Linked DNA regions of Sus scrofa. The protein of the gene in region 1 interacts with the protein of each later gene in a biochemical or structural test. Links are inferred from orthologs where the notes say so. Each region holds a gene or a part of one and is shown on either strand. Other genes may lie near its edges.

The links.
Region 2: the proteins of SNTA1 (region 1) and KCNJ4 interact in a test that uses a peptide from one of them, tested with the Homo sapiens proteins (2 studies listed by BioGRID and IntAct). The link is inferred for Sus scrofa from reciprocal best matches to the Homo sapiens genes SNTA1 and KCNJ4.
Region 3: the proteins of SNTA1 (region 1) and DMD form a complex in vitro, tested with the Homo sapiens proteins (2 studies listed by BioGRID, with this or other methods). The link is inferred for Sus scrofa from reciprocal best matches to the Homo sapiens genes SNTA1 and DMD.

Annotation. Positions count from the first base shown.
Region 1 is NC_010459.5:36,943,694-36,947,293, forward strand, and holds the start of SNTA1 (alpha-1-syntrophin), read right to left. Parts: upstream 2,540-3,600; 5' UTR 2,410-2,539; coding exon 2,100-2,409; intron 1-2,099. UniProt on the Homo sapiens protein: Adapter protein that binds to and probably organizes the subcellular localization of a variety of membrane proteins. May link various receptors to the actin cytoskeleton and the extracellular matrix via the dystrophin glycoprotein complex.
Region 2 is NC_010447.5:9,522,793-9,531,214, reverse strand, and holds the start of KCNJ4 (inward rectifier potassium channel 4), read right to left. Parts: upstream 4,817-8,422; 5' UTR 3,948-4,816; intron 1-3,947. UniProt on the Homo sapiens protein: Inward rectifier potassium channels are characterized by a greater tendency to allow potassium to flow into the cell rather than out of it.
Region 3 is NC_010461.5:27,121,390-27,129,711, reverse strand, and holds part of DMD (dystrophin), read left to right. Parts: intron 1-2,738; coding exon 2,739-2,940; intron 2,941-5,124; coding exon 5,125-5,210; intron 5,211-7,471; coding exon 7,472-7,629; intron 7,630-8,322. UniProt on the Homo sapiens protein: Anchors the extracellular matrix to the cytoskeleton via F-actin. Ligand for dystroglycan.

The DNA.
Region 1 (3,600 bases):
ATCAGGACAACTGAAGTGTGGAGAGAAGCCCCTTGGACAAGGTTACCCAGCTGGTTAGTGGCAAAACAAATATCTAAATCTGGGTCTCCTGGCTCCAGAACCAACACTCAACTCCACGGTCAGGCCCTCAGATACCACACTACTGGTTTATCCTCAAAGATAAGGAATTAGTGGCCCAGAGAAGGGAGGTCATAATTCCAAGGTCACACAACAAATTGGTGGCAGAAGTAGCATTGGAATGCCTCTCCTGACGCCCCACAAAGACCCAACAGTTTGCTCTTTGCACTGCAAAGAGCCTGAGGCCTAGAAAAGGAAGAGATTTCTATTTATATCTGCCCTCTTCACCTGAAACTACCCTTTCAAAGGGTCACCTCAAACTTCAGTTCAGTTTGGATCCATAATCATTCCTGGATGCCTTGGGCTGGGCTGGTCCCTAGAGGAAAGGTCAACATGGCAACAGGAGCTCAGTCTCCATACATGAAGAATTGAATGGGGCTGGTATTCCCCTGACACCTCCTAAAAATACCTTTACCCTCACCTGGAACAATGAAGCTGGGGAGTATTTTATGTGACCTTAGAAAGTTCCCCTCCTCTCCAAGATTCAGTTTGTCCATTTGCAAAATGGATCTCTATATGAACTCTTAAGTTCCTTCCTCCTTTTGAGTGTACAATTTCTGGATTGACCTGTTGCCCTATCCTTTGCTAAAGTTTTGAGGGCAAAACTGGCGCTCCCTCCCTGGCTCTCCCTTTTCACCCTTTTAGATGCCTTTGGTTGGCTGCACGGAAGTTTGTCCTTCTATGGGGAAGAAGTGACTTCTCTGGACACTCTCTAGTGGCCTGAAAATTGAGGTTCAAATCCCAGCTCTGCCACTTACCAGCTATGTGATCCTGGGAAAACCATTTGACTTTTCTGAGTCTCAGTTTCTTCACCGGCTAAATGAGGATTATGCTTCCTATCTTTTAGTACTTGTAGCCAGGTTAGAGTAGATTGTGAGCCTAGAGTACTGGGCACAGCACTTGACACACAGTGGTAGCCAAGTCACCCCTCACCTAGGCCAAAGGGTCTGGAAGCACCAGGAACAGAGCCAATATCAGGGTAAGAGAAATGTGCACACCCAGGGCTAACTCTTTCCCAAGGCTAACACCCTTTCCCAAGTCAGATAACACTGCTTTGGCTGGGAGCTAGGAGCCTTAGAAGTAAGTGGTTTGGAATGGTGAACCCAGCAGCTGGAGTGTGCAGGGTTTTTTAGCACTATGGTTAGTTACTTGGGATGTCTTTCCTGGCCTCCATTTTTCCTCTCATCTAACAGCAATAATTAACCAGGCACCTACTATGTGTTGGCAGGGTGGGTACTTTGGACTCTTTTTTTTTTCTTTTTAGGGCCACACCTGAGGCATATGTAAGTTCCCAGGCTAGGCTAGGGATCCAATCCCAGCTGCAGCTGCAGTACTAGGGGCTGAGAGCCAGTCTCAATCATGTGCAAGGTGCAAATGGTCAGATCAGGAAACTCAAACCCAGCTTTTAGGACTCTTCACCTAGGTACACAGCCTCAGGTTTCTAGGTCCTTTTTTTCTCTCTATCTGGGAGCTCAGTCCAGCTGGTGCCTCCATGTAGTTTGCAATCCTCCTCACCGGCCATGCTTCCTACTCCAGGCCTTACTAGCCCTCCCTCCCACTTTGGTTGTATCTTGAAGACTCCCCCATCCATGGCCTAGCAGCCCCCCAGGCCTCAAACCCCTTTCTCCATCCTTTGCTCTCCTGGGGCTCCTCTTATCCCTGATGGCCGTGCAACCCCTGAGAGGCAACCAGTCTTAGATCTCTTCGCCTCCGCACGGAACTCCCCACCCACGTGTCCTCGGTGGGCCCCTCAACGCCCTCCACATATCTGCCTTCTAACTAAGACTTCCGATTCTCAAAACCCTCTCCGACCTTGATGCTCCTTGTTTCCTGGGTTCCCTCTGTCCTCTCGGACGCCCTTACCCCCAAGACCGAAGTCCTCCAACTCCACGTCCTCGGTACGCCGCCAGCCCCTGCGACCCCGGCGCCCTCATCTGTCCCACAGACACCACAACCAGCGCCCTCGGTGCCCCGGCGCCCACCTTTGATGCTGATACCCAGCCCGCCGGCATCGGCCTTGTGCACCGTCACGAAGCGCGTCTGGGGCAGTTGCGCCTCAGGCAGCTGCGGGGACGCGGCGCCTGGTTCGGTGGCACCGTTGAGCTGCGCGGGCACCGGCTCCCGCTGGGCGACGGGTTCCGGGCCGGGTTCGCCGTCGGCGGGGCTCACGGTCAGCGTGTCCTCAGCTAGACTGAGCAGCACCCGCTGCCACCGCTCTCCGCCGGCCCCCGAGCCCGCTCCGGCGCGCAGTTCCAGCAGCCCTGTGCGCGGGGCGCGCCTGCCTGACGCCATCTTCGCCTCCGAGCCCCCAGGCCGCCGCGTTCGCCCTGTCCCGCAGTGCCCGGCAGGCTCTGACCCAGCGCCCAGGGCAGAGGGCAGCGGGGGCCCCACTGGGCCTGCCGCCACCCTCCACCTGGGGGTGGAGCCTAGGGGCGGGGCTATGTGTGGGTGTGGCTAACGGCGGGGGCGTGGCCACAGACAAGCTTCAGGAGAGACAGGGAGGGCGGGGTCCAGGAGCCGAAGGATGTAGTGTGGGACTTCATGGGGGTGGGGTCATAAGGGCGTCTGGGCGGGACCACGAGTTACAGCGAGAAGCTTCTGAAACGGGGGCGGTGGGGCAATTAGGGGCGTGGCTTCATCCTGTGGAAGAGACTTCGCTGGGCGTGGCAGTCCGGGGCCAGGACCGTCGCTCACCTACGTGACAGCACAGGAAAAAGAACCATGGACACTGCTGCGAGACTTTGGTTGTTGAGGTGGGACTGCATATGGCGGAGAGCCGGACTCCAGAGACAGGGCTTGAGTTTAAGTAGTAGACACCAAGCCGCGAGGGACTTCGCAGGCTGGCAGCTAAAGAAGGTTTGAGGGAGCCTGTTTCCCAGGGTGGGGCCAGAGCTAATATCTGTGGGCGTGGCTTAGTGTGGGGCGTGGTGACTAACGCTAACAGGCCCCTCCCACTGGGATGAGCACGTTGCAGGCTGTTTAGGGTTTGGGGAAAGAGTGGGTACTGCCCTCACTTGGAAATTGGAAAGGTGTTTGAGATTAAGCCCTTGTTCTTGGAGTTCACGTCGTGGCTCAGTGGTTTCCGAATCCGACTAGGAACCATGAGGTTGTGGGTTCCATCCCTGGCCTCGCTCAGTGGGTGAGCTGTGGTGTAGGTCGCAGACATGGCTTGGATCTGGCGTTGCTGTGGCTGCGGTGTAGGCCGGCAGCTACAGCTCCGATTTGACCCCTAGCCTGGGAACCTCCATATGCCGCGGGTGCGGCCCTAAAAAGACCAAAAAAAAAAAAAAAAAAAAGACAAAATAAAACTAAAGATTAAGCCGTTGTTCTGTTCACAGTCAAATACGGAGAAGCCTTAAGTCCCACACTGAGAGACCTGGAGGGAGAAGAACCCCTGTGAGGAAAGAGGGCTGGAAGGTGGGGCTCTCTGGGTCTGGGTCTCTGGAGACCTGGCTTACAATACTGCTCAGACACTGTGTTAGC
Region 2 (8,422 bases), on another chromosome or scaffold:
ACCTCAGTCCGACATTGTGGGCTTGCTGGGAGGGTTGGAGGAGAAGGACGGACAAGGACCTGGCGGGCCGACGTGAGCCTCCTTGCTGGGAAGCCAGTAAGTGCCGGGGCTGCCTCCCGGCTCCTCTCCAGACATCACAGACTCTCGAGATCTGGGAGGTGGGAATGTCACTCAATCTCACCCATGAAGCGGGAGTCACCCGGTCAGGCTCCCTGGCAGGTACTCAACTGGTTCTACTTGAAGAGCTCTGGGCAGGAGGAGCTCACTCTTTCATAAAACATCCGACAGATGCTCCCCGTCTTTCTCTACCTCCAGTTCTGGGAAGCTTCTAGAAGGGGCGATCATCTTCCATCTGAACCCCAACTCCAGCCTGTCTCTGACTGGGACTGCCTGAAACTGGCTTTCAAATGAGCCTGAAAGGGAGCGCTTCAAATAGACCAAATGAGGGGTGGAATGAACGGCCAGGGATGGTGGAGACGGGGCAGCTGGGGGGCAGGAAGGGAGAAGGGAGGGAGCCAAAGGGCGCACTGGGCCCTCAAAACTCCGGGTCTTGGCCGGGCTGGCCGCATCCTCCGCAGGGGGTGTGTATCTGCCTGTGTCTCTGCCTACTTCCAGGCAGGGCTGGGATCCCGGAGGCCTGGGTTTAGGACCCAGCTCTGCTTCCTCCACCCTCAGATCATCACTGTGACCTTAGCGGTGGGGGTGGAGGATCCACTTCCCTTTCTGGGTCTCAGTTTCCACGTCTGTAAACTCTGGGCCTCAGACCAGCAGTTTAGCGACAAATCTGGTTTGAATCGACACCCCGTCCTGCCAGCGGCTGGGATGGCTGGCCCCTCACCTCCAGCCCAGCATGCTGGGACCCATGGGGCTCCCGAGTGTCTGGTTTCAGGCCAGAGACTCTGTCTCTTCCCCCTGAACCCCTCTTTTGCGTCCAGTACCTCTCTCCCGTTTCTTGCTTTTGAGGGTTCTATCATCCCCATTTTACAGGTGAGGAGATGGAGGTAGAAACAGGGAAAGTCACTTGTTCAAGGCCACAGAGAGCTATTCGCAATTCAGGACTCCTTCTCTGTGCCCAGGAGAGCAGCAGGACTCAAGGGCATCTTTTCTCAGGAGAGTCACCGAGATCTTGAATGGCCAACCGTTCTGGATACAGCTGTAGACTCTGCACAGGGTGGGGGCTGGGGGGGCTGCCCAAGGTCACAGAGCCAAGCCACCGCAGACTGGGGTCCTGAACTCAGGCTCCCCGCCTCCCGGGCCTCACCTCGCCAAGGGGACAGAAACACAGTCTGACCTCCTGCCCTGCCCGGAGATCTCCAAGATTAGAGCTCTCAACGGCCTCTCGGCCCTGCCTGGCTGCTCCCAGGAGCCCCTGATACCCGGGACGGAGGGAGAAGAGTGAGCAGGAAGACAGGAAAGAAAGTTGAGGGTTGGCCGCTTGCCCCCAGCCCTCTGTCCCTCCCTCTCCTTCTCTCCTCGTGCAGGGGGAGCGGCGGTGATGTAATGCGCTCGGCTTTGGTCCCGGTGCCAATCTCAGAAGAGAGACGACAGATTGCGTGAGCCAAATTTGGCATCCTAGGGGGAGAGGCATGAAAAGTGGAGATGTGGAGGAGAGGAGCGAGGAGCCTGGGGAGGTGCAGGAGAAGGCCCCCTGCCCAGCAGACCCCAAGACGCCTCCCCGATTCGACTCCGGGCCCCACCTCCTCCCTGGCCCACCTGGCCTCCGGGCCTCCCCTCCTCACTCTGAGAGGCCAGCCTGGCTGGTCCCCGGACCCTCCAGGCCCAGGGCTGCCAGGGCTGCCCCCCCCCAGCACACCGCTCCAGCTCCATTTCCCACCGCCGCGAGTCTCCTGGTTACCATGTTGCTGGTTGTCATGTCGCTTCCATGTCCTCGTGACTCAGTGGTCCCCGCAGAGGGCCCCCCTCCTCCTCACACCCCCCTCGGCACACGCCCCCGCCTCCCCCAGATCCACATTAAGAACCAGCCCGCCCTGTAAGCCTACACTGTTCCTCCTCCCCTTCCCTCTTCCATCCTAAGCTAAGAAATCCTTTCACCGTATCTCCTAGGGCTCCTTCATTCTCTGCTCTGCAAATGTCAGGTAAGAACCTACTATGCTCCAGACTTGTGTCAGCTGCTTCCAGAGACCTGACCTAGTCTGCGAATCACTCAGCAACCCAAAGAAGTCAGTGCCGTCATCCCCACTTCCCAGGTGAAGAAACCGAGGCCCAGAGAGGTCCGGCCAGCTGCCCAAGGTCACCCAGGAGAAATTCAAGGCCAGCCCTGTCTAGTCCCAGTCACTCCAATACTTGCAGGAGAGAGGAGCTTCCCTTTCCAGGGTACACCCAAAGGTTCCTGAGGAAGAGGTCCCCAGCCCCAGGTCCCCCTCCTCGGATGCCGGACACTGCCCTTCTTGGTCAGTCCTCTAGTTCAGGCCACGTTCCCCCTCCCCGTTAGCTATGCCTCTTCCCAGAGGTAAAATGAGTCTTTACTTCCATTTGCTCTGCACTTTCCCAGCCTGTAGACAGCCCTCGGCTCCCTCGAGCCCAGCCCCCCCTCCCTTGGAGGTCAGTGGGACAGGGGACTGACTGCTGTCCTCATTCCACAGATGTGGAAGTTGAGGGCCAGGGAGGAGAGCGGCTTGCCCGTGGTGCTGGCCCCTCTGCCAGCTGAGCAGACTTCTAGGAGCCCAAATGGGGGCTACCCAAGGCCCACTGCCCAGTGGGGAAAACCCCAGGAAGAGCCCATCCCCCAGGAGAGAACCAAGTAGAATGTTCTAGGTTCAGCCCTCCAGACTCCGATTTGGCTATAGGTCAGCTCAACAGCCAACCGCCTTTGCTCCTGCCACACCGCACGGCAGCCCTGAGCCCAGTGCCCCCTTCCACATGTTGTCCCCTCATCCCAGGCCACGCCAGGACCACAGTTTGGCTCTCAGGCCCCCAAAGTCCTGCCAACAGCTCTCAAAAGTCCCAAAGCCATGGAGGTCACAAGACTGGATGTGGGGGAGAAACAGAATAGACATTCTACACACACACACACACACACACGCACACGCACACGCACACACACACAGGTCTGGCTCCTCTCTGGACCTTGCATGTGTGGCCCTTAGGCCTCCCTCCCTCAGCTCTCTGTTCCCTCAACCTGCTTCTTGGCATCCTCCTGCTCCGGAGGCCCCCGCCTGCTAACTATGCCAGGCAGCCCTCCACCTGTCTCTCGCCCACCCCCACCACCCCCCTGCACCCTCTCCCCATCTTAGAGCCTGGGCTCTGGAAACACAAGTGCCATGTAGATGCTGGTCAGGGGACACTGGGCACGGTTGCAGGGAAGTTTCCCTACTCCATCCAGACCTCTCTTTCCTGGTGCTCTCCGTCTAGGGAGGGAAGGCACTCTGGCCTCCCTCTGTGGCCTGTCGCCACCGCTGGGAAGCCTGAACTGCTTCATCCATCCCTGTCCACCCTCTCTAGGGTCTCAGGGCCCAAAGCAGGTGCTCAAAACGAGAGAAGAGGGATTTTGTTCTGTCAGGGCCATTTTGCAAACAGGCTGCAGTTGGGGAGGTGGATAGGAGACCCCCCCCCCCCTTTGCCACAAGTCATCTGCTTTGAAACTCCTCCAACCCAGTGTGACAACTGGGGGTGGGTGGAGGCAGGGAAAGGTCACGGCCGGGGCAAGAGGTCCAGGCCCTTTGCACTCACCTCTACCCCCCCTCCTGGCAGAAACCCAGACCTTGACGCTCCTGAGACGACGACGGACAGAGGACAGAGCTCCTCGGCTCCGGGGAAGTCGCCTGATCGCGCTGAACGCGCGCCCGGCGGCCGAAGCCCGGGTCAGGGGATAAGGTGCCGAGCGGGCGGGGCCCGAGCCGCCAGGCCCCGGGACACACACACATACACACGCACGCGGCGGGACAGACGGACGGACAGCGCCAGCGGCGAGCGCCGGCCGGGCTTACCGCGGGGCGCAGGGTCCGACGAGTCTCCGGGAGGCGGCGAGAGGCCGCTACATCCCACGGCGCAGTCGGGCGGGCAGCGTCCCGGGCCGGGAGCGGGGAGTCCCGGCGCCCCTTCCCCGCGAACTCGGCGGCCGGCCCCGCCCCCCTCCCCCGCTGCCTGTGGGTCTGTCCGTCGGTCCCCCGGTGTCCCGGCCTCCGGGCCGTCCCGCGCCGCTCCCCGCCGGCCGCCCAACTTTCAGCGCTGCCCCGCGCCGCGCCCTCGGCGCCGCCTCAGCTTCAGCATCGTCGGGCCCCGGGCCGGGGCTCAGAGCGCGGGGGTCCGGGGACCCATGGCGCTGGAGCCCCCCGCCCCCGCCGCCTTCTCTCCGCCGCCCCCACGGTTCTCTCGCTGTCCCTCGGCGCTGTCCCCCGCCCTGCGCTCCGCTCCCTGGCCCGCTGCGCTCGCCTCCGGCCCCGAGACCCCCGAAGCCGGCCGGCCCGGGCTCTGCCGCCCCCGCCCCCGCCGGCCCCCTCGGCTCTCGGTCTCTCGCAGTCTCTCCTGCCCGCCTGGGTCTCTCCGACTCTCCCCGCGGGCCCCTGTCTTCGTCTCCGTCGCCCTCCCGGTCTGTCCGCTGCCTTCCTCTGCCTCTGCCCTCTCTCCCCTGAGCGTCTCTGTCTCGCTCCGGGTCCCTGCCTCTGCCTCTCTCTCTCTCTGCCTCCCACTCTCGGTGCGGCCCCCGCGGTCTCGGACCCAGGCCCCCGCCTCTGCCGCGTCCCCGGCTCGCCCGGGAGCCCGAGCTCCCGCCGCCCGCGGCGCGCCGAGAACTCCCAACTCGCGGCACGCCGCCCCGCTTTGCGAGACTTTCGCCCCTCCTCACACGTGACCCGCGCCCCGCTGCGGAGGCCGCGCCCCCCCACCCCAGCCCCGGAGCCCCGGGCGGCCCGGGGGACCCGGCCCCGGCCCGTCCCCTCAGCCTAGCCCGGCATCACACCCCCTCCCACCCGCGGGCAGCGCCGGGCCGGGCAGGGGCTGGGGGCCGCGGGGGCCGCTCCTGTCCCAGATCCTGCCCGGGTTTTCCTCCTCCCTCCAGGAGCACTCCGCCCAGAACCCGCTCCGAGAATCCGCTCCCAGGTTTTCTCGCCCCCCAGGGGCAGGTGGAGAGGGTTCCTCCGCGCCGGGAAGGGAGTGGGTGGGATAGGGTCGGTACCCGGTTCCTCGGCTGCGGGCCACTCCCCTCGGCGGTTCCCTTCCCCTCCTGCAGGACTGGCCATTAAGGACCCTACGCACCCCGCCCCCGGGAGCCGGAGGTGTAACCCTCCTGGAGGGACCCTCACCATCCGCTGGGCAGCACCGCCCCGTTTGACAGACTGGGAAACTGGGTATCAGAAAGGGTCATAAGTTTGCCCAAGGTCACCCAGAGGTGGCAGAGCCGGGCCAAACCACAGTTTTTCCTTCTCTGCGTCCCCATCACCCCAAAATGTCTTTATAGGGAGGATCTCGCCCGTTTCCTTCTCATCTTGGGGGCGCACCGGTCTGGACCCCACACCAGTCTGGACTGTGGGGAGAAAGCCCCAGCTCCTCACAGCCCCTGGCGAGCCAGCCACTCCCGTGGCCATTCCTGCCACCTCACTCTGAGGATGCAGGAGGTTAGAGGATGTAGGGTGCGAGGATGAACGAATACCTGCAGTTAGATAGCCAGAAGGACTTCCCTGGGAGCCTGGCCATCTCTGACTGGCCCCAGTTAAGTGAGGGAGATTGGGGCACTCCAAGCCGGACCGAGAATTTACTGAACATAAAATCTCCAGCTCATCCTTCAAGCTGACCCTCTGAAGTTGCCGCAGGCACAGGAACCACCACACTTGAACCATCATGACTGTTCCCAATCCCCACAGTCCCTCCCCTCCTAAAAGGATTGCGTCCCAACTCCTCAGTGTGATGTACAGTCAGGTCCCACCTTATCTCACACCCCATATACCCACACATACACCACGATGCCTACAGATTCCCGAACACACCAGATGCTTCCACACCTCTCTGCCTTTGCACATGCTATTCTTCCTGCCTTAAATGCCCTTCCTGCTTCTCTGCTCTAAGAATTCCTGCTGTTTCCCAAGTCCAGCCTCCACGCCACCTCCCCTAGGAAGGCCTCCTGCTGCCCTTAGCAGAAGTCATCCATCACCTCCTCATTCATTCATCCAGCACCGGCCACAAGTTTAGTTCTTTTTTTTTTTTTTTTTTTTTTTTTTTGTCTTTTTGCTATTTCTTTGGGCCGCTCCCACGGCATATGGGGGTTCCCAGGCTAGGGGTCTAATCGGAGCTGTAGCCACAGCAACAGCCAGAGCCACAGCAACGCAGGATCCGAGCTGCATCTGCAACCTACACCACAGCTCACGGCAACGCCGGATCAATAACCCACTGAGCAAGGGCAGGGACCGAACCCGCAACCTCATGGTTCCTAGTCGGATTCGTTAACCACTGCGCCACGACGGGAACTCCACAAGTTTAGTTCTTGTTAGGTGGGCTTGGGAGTCAGGCCAACCTCAGCTACAGCACTTAGGAGCTGCATGACCTTGAGCAGATATTTTATTGAACCTGTTTATAATATTAAGACCCTGGAGTTCCCTTGTGGTGCAACGCGTTAAAGATCCAGCGTTGTCGCTGCAGCAGCTCAGGTCACTACTGTGGCATGGGTTCAGTCCCTGGCCTGGCAACTTCCACATGCCACAGGCATGGTAAAATAAATAAAATAAAATAAAACCAGGACCCTCACAGTCCCTCCCCTCACAGGAGGTCGATGCACAAGAAATGCACAGTTCATAGCAGGTGCTCAGTAAACGTGACTATCCCTTCTCAGTCCTCCCCTCGACACTGCAGAGCTTCAAGGCGCATGCCCCATTCCCTGCCCAGCTTCCTCATTACCCTGCTGTGCCCTCGTGGGCGGGCAACCAGGACTGATGTTCCCTGGGAGGAGTCTTTGGTGTGTGAATGGCCGGGAGAACTTAACAGTCTGAAGGCGGGGTCAGCTGTGGTGTATGCCTCTTGCTTATCACACCTTTCCCTGAATTGGAAGTGGGCGGATGCAGGTGAGGCAAATGTCCTGTGGTCTCTTCCCCTGGCCAGAGACCTGGCCCGGTGGCTGCCCTGAGGGTGTGGGGGGTGCAGAGGAAGGAGAAAGGGCAGGAAGAAGGGAGAGATGGATACAGGGGTGTCTTTAGACCCAGAGCATCTGTTTCTGTGGGATCAAACCCAATGCCTGGTCACTGGGTACCAGTTTCAGGAAAGAGCGGCTGGGGGGGGGCGGGCTCAGGGGCAGTGACTTGGGGGGGCAGCTGTGACACCACAGGGGTTGAGAGGAAACATCGAAACATCCAATAATGATCACCTTGCTGGGCCTGGCGGCCTCTGTGGCTCATCTCCTATAAGGAGAGTCCTGTGGCGGCTGAGAGCAGACTGGGAGAAAGGGAGGAGAGGCAGAAAGGGCAGCTCCAGTCAGGGAGAACTTCACAGACCACTGGAAAAAAAAGTCACCCTCCAATCCTGTGTGACTCTGGACAGCTCACCTCTCCTCTCTGGGCCTCAGTTTCCTCATATGTAAAGTGGGGAGGATCACGTCCACTTTAAGGGGCTGTTCCAAGGATGATGAAAGACTAATGGAAGGATCTGCCATGTTCCAGTAGCTCCTCGCTGTGTGCGGGGCGGGGTGGGGAGGGGGTGGGAAGGCCTGTGAGACAGGTATGCAAAGGTTGCAGGGGTGGGAGTGGCAGGTTTGGGTGTCAGAACTGGGTGACCCTGGGCAAGCTCCTTGTCCTTGCTGGACCTCACAGGCCTCATCTGTCATGGGATAATCTGGCCTGGGTCCCCAAAGGGCAAATAGACTTTGTCATCATCTAACACAGAAGCACCCCCCGGATGGAGGGAGAAGAGACATCGCTGGAGTGCCTGGCGTCACAGCGGCCAGCACTACTCAGGCCTTCACGGGCAGAGTCTCGTTTCGCCCTTACAGGAGCCCTGTGACACAGGCCTTTGTTACCAGCAGGGAAGCTGAGGCATGTGGCATGGCCCGGGGGGCCTGGAAGAACTCTTTGCAAGGGTGAGATCTGCTCTGAAGTTTGATGGGAACCATAGTGAAAACTGGCGTCCATCTGTAGGTTTTGCTAAAGCCTCCGGCCCGTTCTCCATTCCTCCTGTTTGCCCCTCACAACAACTCACTGAGGCAGAGACCCTGACTGTCTATCCCTAGTTTCCAGGTGAGGAACCTGAACTGAGACAGGGATAAGGAAGAGCCTTGCCTGGGGTCACTGAGGGCATAAGCAAGGATCTGAGCCACGATTTGAACCCGCTCCTAGTTTCTGGGGAAAGGTCATCCCAGGCCAGCAGGGCGCTCACTCACTGGCTCACTCTGGGAGCCCAGTCAGGCCTCCCTGGTCCTGAAGGGGCCCCGTGAGCTGGTGTAAAGGGCTAGGAGGCCTGGAGGGGAGAGGGATGGGTGGGACAG
Region 3 (8,322 bases), on another chromosome or scaffold:
CAACCTCATGGTTCCTAGTTGGATTCGTTTCCGCTGCACCACGACGGCAACTCCGCATATTTGGGTTTTTATATAGCTTTAAAATTCCCTCAGTGAATACACTAAAGGAAATATATTTTCCCCCTAAATGGAAATTCCTAGCTTGAACTAAAGGGATAGTTTTACAAAACTGCGTCTGATAGTTGCTTGTTAAAGTTTCTAGAAACAGCTAATCATTATGTCTAATGTATCATAAAAAAACTCAATGTATTCTCTAAGATGCACATTTTGAACAGTTAAGTGTATGTTTGTGTGGCAATTAAATTGTCCCAACTGATTTTCTCACCTCTTTTCAAGTCTGTGGTATTGGCTATACACACCTAAATAGGAGTCTTTTAAAAATTGTTCCATGAAAGTGGTATTCTGTTTGATATGTTTGTTTTGGGAAACTGTGTTCTCCAGTCTTCTGTGATGGATCGTTGTGTTTAACCATGTCTGGTTTTAGCAGAACACACCGTATGGTATTTCTCTCCTAACTGTGTCATCTCCTGCTCCTGTTATTTCAGAGCAATTGCTTTGCGCCCCTCTGGAACTATTTATGCTCCCAGTTTCCTCTTCTGAGTGTTACTTGTTCACCTGTACAGAGAAAAGAGTAGGCCCAATAAAAAGAAATGCATGCCATTTTGCTGCTGGTGATTTGTTTCCATCACACAGGGAAATTAGATTCTTAACATGAAAGTGAGTCTAAACATTCTCACTTGTTACTTCTTATATCCTTGGGTGTAAAGCAAAATATTTGTAATGACTAAGGCAGAGTAACAAAAAAGAAAATACTAGAAAAACTTCCGGCCACCCTTGGCTTCATATATTGTATAAAGAAACATGTTGCAAACATTGGTACTTGATGGAAAACCACTTCTCTCTTCCGCTGGTGGAAATGGTGTGCTGCGTGTCTGAATGTTCTCACTGCTGACACCTGAAAATGTGTCCTCGGAGGAGGTCACCCAGCAGAGAGGATGGAAGTTTCTGTACCTCTCTCTGGTCTCTCATACAGTCCCTGGTAGGCCTTCCCCTCCTCCTGTCCTCCTGCCTGCTCGTGGTGTTATTTTAAAAAAAGTCTTTATTCTCTTTCCCACCTACTTCCCTCTCAAATCAAGTTATGTTCCTTTCTGCCACTTTAGACAGAAAGTAAAGAGATCATTTTTGTATCTTGAAAGTATTTTTAAGCCAAAGGAGTGGGGGCTTGGCTTTAATAGGATGAGTGCTCAGCCAGGGTATTTTAGGGAAACTGGTACATGGAAGCAGAGAGCTTTACTCACTGGGATGAAAGACAAAAAAAAAAAAAAAAAAAAAAAAACAAAAAACAAAAAACCACAAACCTACTTCCACCACCGGGTCTCCTTCATGCTTTCAGAGAAACTTCAAAGCTTACTATTTTCCTTTTTTTAAAAGAGAAAAACGTGCACTACATAGGTATTAACCTACAAAGGTATTAACCACTATTTTGGGGTTAGCATTTAATTAGAACTAGCCAGAAGCTGTTTACTGACTGGGATATACTGACTGTTATGGTCGTTCCTATCTGCAGTTACATTTATAATTGTGTTGCCTCCTGCCCCGAGATGCCTGAGAGATTTCCTTAATTACCATTGATTCTTCTTCTCCAAGGACTGGGAATTCAGACTAGAGCTTAAGATGTATAAGGTGTTATAAAAGCAATGTTGTTGCATTTCCAATTTGGCTAATAAATTGGCTTTAGAGAAAAGCATCTTTCCATGACAGTTTGAGAGTTAAGCTTACGATTTGCTGATGTTGGATGAGGTTGAGGTTTCACTTTAGATAAATGTTTGTCTTTCAGCATATGATTAAATACCACCTCAGATCAAAGGAACCTCCCCACCCACTTAGAAAGTTCTTAGAGGACTTGAAAAGTACATTGTAGAATATAATTTGAAGGTGAAAGGAGAAATAAGTGAGCCTGGTGTCTGAAAACAGCATAGGTGATGCAGTTATTTTAGTTTGCCTATAGAAAATTGTAATGAGGGTGATTATTTTTTTCACCTAGTATGAACATAGCAGAGATTAGGAGGTGACTGATATTTCAAGGAGAAAAACGCTTAATGATTATAAATGCATATCTGGAAATAGAGTTTATACAACCATAACCATACAGATTAATCAAACTGACCTTCTGTGATACTAATACAAGAAAGTATTCTCAGGGACTTCGAAAATCTCTAGTAAAACATTTTTTTTCCCTGATTTGGGTGAAAATGACTTTGTTCCCATAGAGCACTATCGGGCCCCCTGAACTCTCAGGTATTTCCTAATACTTCAGGAGTGGGAGCTGTCTCTTTACCTACATCTTCATCCAATGCCAGTGAGACTTAAGAAAAACCTCAGAGCTTCAATACCCATCAAACCCATCAAACTTAAAGCTGAGGGATGCAAACAAAATGCTTTAATAAGAGAGGGTGCAGGGAGTTCATTGTAGCACAGTGGGTTAAGGATCCAGTGTTGTCACTGCAGTGACTCGGGTTGCTGCTGTGACACAGGTTCAATCCCTGGCCTAGGAACTTCCACATGTCGCAGGTATGGCCAAAAATAAATAAAAATAAGATAAAATAAAAAGAGGGTATGGTTCAGGTTTGGTGTCTACTAAAGGGACAAGACAACACTACTAAGATTGTCAAAAAGAGAAACAGCAAAGAAAGGATTTTCCCCTTTGAATCACTTGTGATTTTGTGTGACTTTTGCAGTGGATCTCTTGAGCCTGTCAGCTGCATGCGATGCCTTGGACCAGCACAACCTCAAGCAGAATGACCAGCCCATGGACATCCTGCAGATCATTAATTGTTTGACCACTGTTTATGATCGCCTGGAGCAAGAGCACAACAATCTGGTCAACGTCCCCCTCTGCGTGGATATGTGTCTCAACTGGCTGCTGAATGTTTATGACACGTACGTATGGCAGGCTTTTTCCAGACTCTGTCATGGGAGGCTTGGTTTACAGAATGGTGACAGTGTAATTACCATCACAACAGGGCTCCAGTCTAGAAATATGGTCCTTGGAATGAAAGTTTCATGAAGCCCTCTGACCTTATGTTGTCCCCGTGATTAATCATTTTTGCCTTTAATGGAACTGAAAAATATGTTGAGAAGTGGGGAGGGTAAGAACAATAAGGTAGGTTGTTCTCAGATCATCAAGCAGACAAAACCCCAAAGTTACTCATTTTTCCAGTAGTAGCATGAGACAGTGTGTAGCCCTTGGTTCTCTGCCTTCCTTGCCTGTGTACTTTGAACTTCATCCTCTTCAGGGATGGCTCCCTCTCACCAGCCGGAAGGGGTGAGCTCCTGGAGATGCTGGCACACCTGTCACCAGCTCTGAACAGTGTTTGCTGATATTCATAGGTTTTTGCAGAAGGCTGCATTGATAAGCAAAAAGGAAAAGAAAAGAAAATAAGCCCTTGATGTAGCAAACTCAGCTCCTCAAACTGAGGAAGTTTTGTCTTTTTTTTTTTTTTTTTTAAATAAGGGTTTATGAAGTTGCAATTTGGCCCTCCATTTATCTCTCTCTTAGAACTTGCTTATTTCTTTTGGATTACACTTAGGCGAGCTCCCCAGTTTCATCTTGAGCTTAATGAAGATAATTGAGGAAGGCAGCAGAAGGAATTGGTCTTAATTTTGACTGAATTCTTCTCAGACCTCAAAATTATTATATGCCCGATTTCCCATGTCAATAAGAACATTTTCCACATTTGGAAATCTGCAAAGGTTTTCTGAAAGGAGTTGCATAGCAACTGTTTTGCTTTTGCCTTTGTTGTAGATTTCTACCATCTCCTGGCTTAAAATGTATACCTTTTTTTCTTTGTTACTTTGATAAGGCATTGCTTTCTAAATTCCAAATCACCTGGCTATTGAATTCTGATCATTATCTACCAAGCTCTTGAACATGTTGGATTTTAATTACGGATTATACTTACACTTGCTTTGATAAGGGTTTCTATTCAGGTCTTCCCTCAAATGTATTTTGGCACCATTTTCTTTCCAGATGTTGTGTAAATGGATTCTGGTAACTTCCTCTCTCTATGCCTGAAAATTTTGAGGGGACAATTTTAACTCCTTGAAGACCTGAGTTTTTACATAAAGTTTGTTAAACTTTGCTTTGCCTTTTTAAAAAGGGAAAAAGATAAAATCTTCAATGATAGTGCTTTTGTTAATGTGTTAGGACCCACGATTTCCATTTTTTACTAATAGATTTAGTAAATTGTACCAGTTGAAAGGTGAACATATTTTTCACCAAAAATAACCACCATTGGGACTTGTCCTTTGCCATTCTCCAGACTATTTTTTTAACCAGCAAATATGGTTCAGTATTTTTCACAACAAAATCAAAGCTGAAAACTATCAAAAGGCATTTTCTAGAAAATGAAAAACTTCATTTTAATTTTCCCATGGATAAAATGAACTTATTAATAAATACCTTCTGGAATGCTTTATATGTAACATGAAAGTACATCTGTATTAAAACATTGCTGTAGCAATAGGTTATTTTTAATTTGCTGTTTAAGATCATCTAGCTGAATGCTCTCTAATAAACTGCATCATATTTTTCTTATAGACATAAATATTCCCATTTTATATTACATGTCATGTGGCCTGAAGTGATTAATTTTCTTCTCAATAAAGGGCAATCTGATGAAAATCTAAATGAGTGTTGAAGAGGGCAGAGCAGTTAGGCAGTTAGTTAATTTTTTTTTTTTTTTTGGCTTCAGTAACCAAAGTAGGTAATTTGCTTATTAGTACATAGTAGTAAATCTTCCACTTATTAACTTAGCCCAGGTGGCTCTCCCTAGATAAATAGAGGCTATTTTTTTCTTCTTTTATGTAGAGAAACTCTTACCATTCAAGAAGGGGTTTTTAAGAATTGAAAACTTGCTAAGTGTTCATTGGTTGAGTTGGTCAAATTTCCATCGCATTCTAGGTTATCAGCCAGATAGATAATGAACTCAGAAATGTTCTTAACGATCTTAAACAATGGTCAATAGAGTTCCCATATCCAAGGGTTTTTTTCTTAACTGAGAAGTTTTTTATCATTTAGTAAAGTGTCAGTAATTGTTTTTCTGCTTTGATTATTCATAATAGGGGACGAACGGGGAGGATTCGGGTCCTGTCTTTTAAAACTGGCATCGTTTCTCTGTGTAAAGCACACTTGGAAGACAAGTACAGATGTAAGTCATGTGTATTAAGTCTGTATTCTTTTATTAATGGTGGCTAATTACCCCTGTTCTAGATGGGGAATGACATAGTGTTCTTATTTGGCAGCAGGTTCCTCATGTAAGGTGTAGAACTACTTTTAGACTGTCATAAAATTTGGTTTGTGCCATTCCCTGTCAGACGTTAAATTGTAGGTATTTAAATAGAGAATGAGGATTAACTTCTCCAGTGCAAGTGTTATTTTACATTGCATTGACTATGTCTAAACAAAACACATGTTCCTTGGGGATAAAGTCTGATTTCCTAACCCCTTTGTCTAAGTCAGAAAAATAAATGTGAAGGTTTAATCCCTGCACTTGCCTCGTCTTTTGAGTCTTATTTAAAGAGCACTATCTGGCATTCATGTTCAGGAAACATTGTTTATTTTATAATCATCTTCCTGCAAGTTGTACTGACATATCCAATTCTGTGATGTGATTAACATTTTATTATTTGAGAGACAGCTCGTCATTTCTTACAGGATAAATATCACCTTATAAAATTTCCTTTTGATTAGCCATTGGGTGCTTCTGCTTAAAATTTGTAAATCCAAATTAAAAGCAAATGCTGGAGGAGGGATGGTTGAGATGACTAAGCAACGATTTATTCCCATCGTAAAAGAATGTACCTGTATTTCCCCATTAAATGCTTGCGAGACATCTTTTCGGTAGGAATATTAAACAAACCTAGTCTATCTGGTCTTTTCTTTTTTCCCCTAAGGCCTAGCCACACAGGGATAAGGAGCTGTGCTGAGCTTAAGGATGGGCAGGAGATAAAAGAGATTGAATTCCTCCAAAGCCACTCTGTATCCTATTGCTCATTTCCCCCCAGGAGTAAGCCACAAATATACAAGCTCTTTTAACGCTCACTTTTATGTAGTTTCCACTTGAGTTTCCCCATCCTGAGAACCCAAGAAAAAAATAACGGAACAGCTTTTGTTAGCCATTTAAAAATGTATTGGGGAGTTCCCAGCAGGTTAAGGATCCAGTGTTGTTATGGCAGTGGCTCGGGTCACTGCTTCGGCATGCATTTGATCCCTGGCTGGGGAACTTACACATGCTACAGGCACAGCCAAAACAAAATGTATTTTGGATGAAATAGAATACTTCTGTGGGATCTTCTTCTTTCAATACGGTAGTGACTTGTTATAGGTTAGCTTTTACTCTAACCTGGCCAGTGGTGTAGTACCAGTATATCGTCATTCCCACTCAATTCATCAATGGAGCTTCCAGCCCATGTTTCAAATAACTACTAGGAGGGAATATGTTTGAGGTTGGTGAAACAAAAATGTTAACTTCAAACTGGGACATTTGAAGGTAATTCATAATTTTGAAATTTTGTGTGTATGCTGGAGAGATGGGGAAGGGCTCTCTGTGAAGCCTCAGTGTTGGTACTGCCATCATAAATATCCTGTTAAAACTTCAGGTTTCTTAGAGTTTTAATTTCTTAGTGCTTATGAGTAAGAAAAGCTCTCATCCATTTACTTTTGGGACAACTTTTATTTGAATATGAGGTAGGATTAAAATAATTCTATTTTTGAGAACAAAACATGTATTGTAAGTGTTTGGTATGTTTTTTCATTCCTTGAATCCCTGTGTATTGGGCACCCACCAGCCTCCAGGAACTGCTCTTCTATTTCTGGCACACAGTGGACCAAGATGTGGTCCCTGCCCTCAAGGGGTATCTTTCACCAGCCAAAAAGACACATATTGAATCAGTAACAGTGTACAGTGATGCTAATCACAAATATGTTCAGCATCCTTTGGAAACACATACTAGAAATTCAGTGATTGTATGACTTCATAAAGAGGTCCTGATTTGGATATATTTTGGAATCTGGTGTCCAAAGAGGATAGTGCTTTGGGCCAGTTATAAGATTCTTAATGCTAAAACATTTATTTTATAATAGTGGTCATGTCCTATATATAAAATATTTTCCAAAGGATTATGTTCTGGCTTAGGAAAAATTCACATGTCAGAACTGTATGTAAACTCTCATTTCTTGCAGGGCTGTAGTTTATTTAAAAGTTGTCATGTTTCATTTATACACAGTGATGATTAACTCAACCCATAAAAATAATAAATGTCCAGATTAGCATACAGTGGAAGTAACCCTTCTGGGGAAATCTTGGCTGCTCTTGAGAATTGGTACCGGAATTGAGTTGGTCCTTAGGTTTTGCTAGTATCTGCTGGGTACTGATTTTTGATTGTTGAAATTCTCTTCTTCCTTTTGTAGACCTGTTCAAGCAAGTGGCCAGTTCAACAGGATTTTGTGACCAGCGCAGACTGGGCCTCCTTCTGCATGATTCTATCCAAATCCCAAGACAGCTGGGAGAAGTTGCATCCTTTGGGGGAAGCAACATTGAGCCAAGTGTCAGGAGCTGCTTCCAATTTGTAAGTTATTTACCCTCTTAACATATTTATTCTTTTGTACTTCAGCAATTAATTTAAAAACCACAGAACTTTAGTTTCTCATATTAGCACTTCTATAGGCAGGTAGGTAGGGGATTTTTGATATTTGAAACCTCTGTAGTCATTGGCTTCTGGAAAGAGTTTGGGGAGAGAAGACAGTGTGAAGAAAGGGAAAGAAATCTCCATCTGCAGCCAGAACCCCTTGGCTACTGAACTGCTGGGCGGGAAGGGAACCTGCAGTGGTTTTGAGAGGAGGAAGTAAATCTCCAGCCATGGAAATCCTTTGTGAATAAGAAAATGACCTTTATGGGCGAGTCTTAGTTTTTTTCCCCCAAACCTGGTTCTGTCATCATAGCCTTCTTTTTAGTAGCTGTTGATAAAGAATTGACACAGCTATCTTTTTTTTTTTTTTTTTTTTTTTAGTTTTTCTTTTGTAGCTTTAACATTCTTCTACTATTCTAATAAGACCTGAATGGTTACTCTCCATAGGCTTATGACTAGGTCAGAGTTTTGTACTCTTGGTTAGTGTCTGTCACTAGTTCAGCACACTCCCATCCATTCTCTTTCATATCCTGCCCCATTGCCTTTTCCACATCGGAATTGTTGTCCCCAGAAACACCCTCTTTCTCCTAAAGGCCTAAGCATTTCACTGATAGACATTAGGTTGTTTCGTGT